Linked DNA regions of Daphnia pulex. The protein of the gene in region 1 purifies or fractionates together with the protein of each later gene. This does not show direct contact. Links are inferred from orthologs where the notes say so. Each region holds a gene or a part of one and is shown on either strand. Other genes may lie near its edges. The genes, in order: uncharacterized protein LOC124196242 and probable protein BRICK1-B.

Region 1 (4,498 bases):
CACGATAGAGGCAAAGAGACCGATGACAATTGTTGGGAACAAATAAAATTGACGCCAACACCCTCTCACACGTTGACAACATCAATTTCATTTGACAGACAGCCAACAAAAGTAAAAAAACGTGTGATTTAACCGACCTGTACACATTGTCTTGCGGATTACGCGAGTTCCTGGATGCGTAGATGGCCTCTTCGCTAGGGTAATTACGTTTCACTTCAATGCTGTTAGGGCGCGGGGGCCGTGATGTTGAACTGGGATCCGGTAACATGGTTCCATCCTCCAAATACAACGCCTGTGAAATTTAATTTGGCAAGACCACATTGGCAAAAGGCATTAGGAAAATAGTTGACAATTGTTTTGTACGGGCAGTATTACCTGAGGCGACTGATACAGCGCGTTCTGTGGGCTAATGTACTCGCCCTTGTTAATGGCCAGCTCACGGTGCTTTTCCCGAGTGTTGTGCGGTTGCCGGACCCGTTTCTTGTGGCGACCGCCTCCGCTGCTTCCGCCTCCGCCACCACCGCCGCCATCATTTCTGCCTCGATGCGGCTGTGAAACGGTACAAAATATCAGTTGTTGATCGCACAACATTTCAAAGCAAAAAAGAAAAAAAGAAAAAGAAAAAAAGGAAATTCGACGGTAGATGTGGGTTGAAAAGAGAACTTGCCTCGGACGGAGTGCCATCCGCATACTGAGAAGCATGTTCAAAGTCAAAATAATGATTTTTGTCGTTTTTTTTATTTAGTGTTACAGTTGTTTTGAAACCACAAGACAGCAATGATTTCTATTCGATACTAATGCTAATGGCCAAACATTTGGATGTTGTAGCTCGTAAAAAATAAACGAGGGAAAGTACAGAATTATTCATTAACCTAATTTTAAGCTTGAATGATTCCATAACAGGAAAAATAAAACATTTTCTGTCTGTTATGTTTAGGACGTTATTGCAGAAAATATGTTACAGATATATAGCCCTCCCTCCGCTGTTACTAAACGTGCGTTCCGCTGAGAACGGTCTGAGAATTCACGAACGTCACCGACCCAGATCGTTTATCGACTCTTCATCATTTCCCCCCTCAAGAAAAGAAAAAAATTCTAATAAAGCAAAGAATGAACCGTTTATACGGCCCTCATTATTCCAACGACAAGATACATGTCGACCGGTTGGTGGAGGTTGAGTGGCAGGTGAATGTAAATTGGCAAGAGACCGGCTTTCTCTCTCTAGGTCACAATTGTATTTAAAATGAAAGACGAAATAAATGTCTATACCTTGCGTCCCTTGTCGTTGAGGATGCGCTCAGTGTCTTTGAGCATCTCCTGTCGCCACAAGTCAAAGAAGTAATCCGGGTCCGTGTAGAATTTGAGCCCGTCCTTTCCATCGTCCCTAAAAAAGGCAAAAGAGATATCATCATCAGAATATTTTAAATACCAGTTTGAGCTGAGAAACTGAAAAAAAGTTCATTGGAATAATATGGACCAGGTTGTCGGAACGGCGGTCGTAAAGGACGTTTGAAGGGGAGCTCGATGTGGGCTAACTTTGCGAAAGGCACGTCGGAATGTCGACGTCACGGCAGCCCAGCGTTTGACTCGTTGAATCAAATCGCTGGCTATGCTGCCACCCCGGCTAAGCGTACGAGATTTGTTACATTCCTGTTGTCCACCAATTCCAACGTCCGGACGAACATCGGTAAATTCTCCGCCATGCCTGCCGCGGACTAACGGTGGCGGGGTAACTTTGACGGCCTGCAGAGAAACGGATCGCTGGAGACGACGCCGGCGGATGGGTGGAATGGGCTTTGCGGCTTCGATCGAGGATGTCGGAGGGGTTTCGATAACGGGCAAATCTGGGAGAACTGTATCATCTTCCTTTTCCACATCGACTTCAGCTAACCGCTTTTCGAGAAACTGCAGAAACTCATCAGTCAACCCTTCGATGGCACTGGTTTCCTTTGGTGGCTCTGCTTCCGCCGGCTCTGCTTCCGGCGGAGAGAGCGGAAAGAATTGGTCCTCCAGACCGAAAACCCACGAATCGCCTTGTTGTTGGTGTTGCGGCTGGATCGCCTGCCAATGGTACAGGCCCTCCTCTCCAAACCAGCAACAATTAGAGCTTCCGGCGTTTCGCTTATTATCGTCCGGATGGATCTGGGTCGATGGGCACAAACTGCAAGACATCACTCATTCACTCACTCAAGGCAGACTAGATTAAAGATGTGATTCAATTTCTTTCATTTCGCTTCCGCACATCCTCGGTATCAAAAACGCATCTGGGTCACCAACTTCTTTCGTCGTCGTCGGTCCAGTTCAATTGACCGACAAAAGTGTACAACAGGTGGCTCGGCGAACTTGCGTGCGTCCAGGTCTCACGGACGCCTTTTCTCAAGAGAAATTACGAGTAAATCGCGTCATAAAACGCCGAGTCTCTGGCACCGAGGACACAACCACCACATAAAAGCTAATCGCGATCCCTCCCCGCTGGGTTCTTGTTCGATATCCGTTTCGTAATGCCTTTTCGCTCGATTTCGCTTTAGGTTTCTCAATTTCGGGCAAAGATACACACGACACTGATTGCTTGTCCTTTTCCTTCACTGCTAGTAGTGGTAGATAATAGATGTCACACAGGACTTGCGAGTGGGACCAATCCGCTCGGCACGGCTGAAGACGATCGACTGAAGCACCGTAACAATGCGACCAATCGACGACTACAAGAACGGAAAGAGAGAGAAAGAAAAAACAAACTAACTAGAGATGGGAGGAGACCAAACATAACACGCCAGCTGGACTCGCGTAACAGCGCATTTCTTCTCGGAGAACGGATTGGGTGGTGGTGTATTAGGTTTGTAGGTTGCTCCGGTTCAACTAGTAACTCCCGCAGGCACACTGGACCGGTCCGTGAAATTTTTTTTTGGCCATAGCCACCCAGTCCAGTCCGGTCTGGACGACAAACGGGAGGATGCGGCAGAAACACCTATAATATTTTGCGTTTTGGGAATGAGGACGAGACGGTTTTCCCTACCGGTATCCGCGGACTCGTCATACGCAAAACCAGTCCCATCTGGCAGCCATTCCATCAATTTACAAGAACCTTACACGAGGCGATTGCTTTACACACACACACACGAAAAAGAAAAGGGTAATAATAACAATAACACGTTGCTCGGACAACGACGTACTAGAGTCCCGAGTCCAACGCCCGGTTGGATAGTTGTTGGCCGGCAATGCAATCTGACTCGCATCCCGCCGGCAATGAGGCATCTATTATACATTCACACTGGCATACGCCCTGGTCGATATGAGATTCCCCAGTCGGGCGTTAATAGAAACACAGAGCTCAAGGCCCGGCTACCGCGCCCTGGCTGCTCGCTCGCCTAACAAGTCGTCATAATCGAATCAACCTCCATTCGCTTCCCCCCTTATTATTATTATTTCTTTTTTTTTCTCTCTCTCTCAATATAGAACTTTCTCACCATCTCTATAGCACCAAGGAGAGAGAGAGAGACTTGGTGGCCGCAAGTGCTTTTAGATTACGGCAAAGCTGCAGGGGGAAAAAACATGATTCCACTCGACTGACGACGGCCGTTCGGAAATCTCACCAACCGGCCGGTGTATCTCCCACAAGATAATACAACGCCGATACTCCCATCTTTTCGCTTTATCCCTCGCCTCGTTCACACGGACGATTTGCTAGCATAAGCGTAACCAACTTCCGGCTAGCGTATGCCCTGTACGCGTCCTGCAGCCATACCTCACGATTTGCGCCAACGATTCTTAACAAACGTATTAACAGCATTGGCTATTACGTGTGATTTCATTATCTGGAATGATGACATTGCCAAGTTGGTCACGTTCTGCTTTATGGTCGGAGGCCTCGTGACCCCCTGCTGAGATTTCGGCTCCCGGCTAGGGTTCTATACATGCTAAAAATATCAAAGTAGTCATTATGCTTACCGGTATACATTGAGCTTGTCCAGAGGTGGGGGTTTATCACAGTGATGGTATGTATCTGCCATCGCTGTGGGAATAGTCAGCTTAGAGACAACCTGCTGATCGAAAACCACACTGCTTTTGAAGGCTTTGCGAAGGTGGATGTCTTGCAGTGAGACTTCCTCCACGGTGCTGTCCAGTTGAGTGACTTTGACTGCCAGTCTATCTATCCTGGCCTGTAAGCTGGAAGAACGAATATGGAGGGCCTCGGTCTCCTTGTAAAGCTCACCAAACATGTCTTCGGCATGATGGCTAAGGCTTGAGAGTTGTCGGATAATATTGGCCAATGTTCCATTGGTGACTCCTTCCAAGTCATTTGGAAGTTGGAGGTGTTCAGGCAATGTGTCCCTTGACACATAAACGGGAGAAATGACTCTTTTTGGCAGAGGCATTTTAAATCACTTCCTAAAAGATTACAGATGGTTTAGTTCTTTGGGATAACTTGTCATAATCACTACACCCTAGACCCTACACTTGCAATATCTGATTTTAACACTCTTATCATGTTGTTACTATA
Region 2 (2,658 bases), on another chromosome or scaffold:
CCGTGTCCAACACCCAGCATCTTGGACATGAAGATCGTGGCGCAAGACATTAGATAAAGGCATCACTTTAAACTAAGGAAAAAGAGTCGGAGATGCATTCAAAGTTCGTGGAACAAATCTTTCGAGCACTTTTAAAAGTGCAGGGTCTCGTTTATCAACGTCCAGATGACCCCCACCCAGTTTTTAAAGAGGACCAGTCAACAATTTTCATAGAAAAATGGCATCTGGTCTTCTGCGCAGCTGCCATTTAACACCAACGGCAAAACAACAAAAGATTGTCAAAATCCAAGGAGAAACATCAAACAATTTGATCAGAGGCCAAAAAATTTGTCATTTCCTTTTCCGGTTTTGACCAGAGTGCGTAGTCGTGAGGGTATCATCACGAACCAAACATTCGTATTGTTGCCAATGATTCCTAGCTAGTAGTTTATACAAAGTAACGGATAATCTGTTTTTATTTTGCTTTTGACGACGACGAAACGTGTGATAACGAGCATCACCTTGAACACGACTCGTAGACCGTGATAAGGAAAACAGCAACCGAATGCTTCCGGTGGCTTCCGACCGCAGAAAGCCCTTCTACCTTATTGCGTCTAAACTTCTTCCCAACTCAGAGACTCGACTCATTTCCTATATAATATGTACGAGAGCGACTGTTGCTATTCGCCCTTTGCATTTCGGCACTCTAGGGGATTCGCGGTTTGTGATCATAAATGCACGTCAATGAGTGAAAACATATCAATATATACAATCCAAATCAACCACACACGATGTAGAATCTAATAATAATCAGAAAAAAGTGAGATAGTACCTTTCACTTGTGAGTCGAGTTCCCACAGAAACTCTTTGTCTTTGCGTGCCATTTTCTTGGCACTCTCTGGCGGGACGACCGTTTGTTGTTGGACAGCAGATGAGACCGGCGCCGAAATGTTGAGGACGATTTTGTTGGCCGACATTTCACACGTAATGAAGAGACTAGCAGCACACACGGCCAAAGATGGAGAGAGATGGGGAAGTCTCTCTGACGCCAACTTCTTACACGGCACAGCAGCACATACAGACGACACACTGGCAGAAGCTTTTTATTCTTTTCTCCTCTCTGATTTTTGTGTGTGGGGGAGTGAGATCAAACGCCCCACCCTGACATCTTGATAGAGAGTCCAACTTTTCGGTTACTTTTTTCTGTCGTGCCAAGAACGCCTCGTCGCTTTTCGAGTCAAACACTATAACGTCAAACGGAGAGATCGAAAAGAGGCGGCAAGTTGAACGAGACGGTTGAAAATCCAAACTAACGCAAGCAAGGCACATTTCACTTTGACTTACCCCTATCGCGTCGTCCCACCTCCACACACAATGCTCCTCCTTCCTTGCCCAGCTGCAGCCGTTCGGGCTCAATGGAGATTTTCAATAACAGGGCTACGCTCGCGTCACCTAGCGGCTGTACTCAGCAACATGCCTTCTGATTACTTTGTGTTTTAATCGTTTTCATAAAATCTAAAGGTGTTGGCCGGATTTTAATACTTGTTTTGAAAATTTTAAATTATTCTCGATTTATTAATTGTATTTTTCATCTGTTTTAATCGTATTTTCAATTTCCGTACGATTGCGATGGTGAAGCGTAGCTAATGGAGCTGATTTGACAGTTCACAACACAAACAAAGTTGGGAAAACATGTCGACGAAACAAACCCTTCAAAAACAAACCCAGCAAGATTGGGCCAACAGAGAATACATTGAAGTCATCACCAGCAGCATTAAAAAGATTACCGATTTTCTCAATTCTTTTGGTAGGACACTACAAACTGACAAATTTTAGTTTCATCGTAAAACCCGTTTCCTTGCACATGCCCACACAGATATGTCTTGCCGAGGACGACTAGCAGTGCTCAACGAAAAAATCACCAGACTAGAAAGAAAAATTGAATACTTGGAAGCCAGAGTAATATTTTTCAATATAAATGTGATCATGATTATTTAATTTACCATTTTCATCATTCGTCCATTGTAGGTAACGAAAGGCGACACCCTGACATGAAGCTTCCCAAAACACAGTACAAATTTGCCTTCCCTTTTACTCTAAGCCCTTTTTTTTACACATATTTGGTCGCATTAGTTGAATAGACAGTGCATCACTTGATGAATTGATTCATTATTACTGTAATGAAAAGACTCTTTAAAGATTCTTTGTATCACTCCTTCTTTGCACTTATTATAGTGTTAGGTTAACTACTACTGTGGAATGCAAAATACTTCTTGATTCTGGGAATGACAAAAATGTGCTACTATCGTGAAATCAAAACAAGTCCAACTTGTTTAGATTTTTTTTCAAAGTCCAAGAAACTGGTTTAATTTTCCACTCCTCTTATCATTAGGAACTACTCAAAATGCTAGTCATACATGGTCAACAAAGTGTTCCCCTTTCTACAAGATTCAAAGATCCCAGATAATTTTTTCACTCACTTCAATAACGAAAGCGAAATTGATGTTGGCCTTTAAAATGTCTCGCATGAATGACGTCTATACCTCAGAAGTGGTCCCTGTCATTTTCTGCGGTGCCCCACCAACGTACTCATTCAACCACAAATAGTTATTATGGAGCACACGATACTTTGGTCAGGAGAGGGAGACCAAAAAACTGGCGAATATCTAAGGCAGCGGA

The links.
Region 2: the proteins of uncharacterized protein LOC124196242 (region 1) and probable protein BRICK1-B purify together in Drosophila melanogaster (affinity purification with western blotting; 4 studies listed by BioGRID, with this or other methods). This does not show direct contact. The link is inferred for Daphnia pulex from reciprocal best matches to the Drosophila melanogaster genes SCAR and HSPC300.

What each region holds. Positions count from the first base shown.
Region 1 is NC_060022.1:717,507-722,004, forward strand, and holds the start of uncharacterized protein LOC124196242, read right to left. Parts: upstream 3,064-4,498; 5' UTR 2,173-3,063; coding exon 1,478-2,172; intron 1,385-1,477; coding exon 1,270-1,384; intron 550-1,269; coding exon 376-549; intron 293-375; coding exon 138-292; intron 1-137.
Region 2 is NC_060018.1:1,420,449-1,423,106, forward strand, and holds probable protein BRICK1-B, read left to right. Parts: upstream 1-1,649; 5' UTR 1,650-1,671; coding exon 1,672-1,786; intron 1,787-1,855; coding exon 1,856-1,938; intron 1,939-2,007; coding exon 2,008-2,034; 3' UTR 2,035-2,136; downstream 2,137-2,658. Other genes in the region: SLIT-ROBO Rho GTPase-activating protein 1-like, read right to left, coding at 812-956.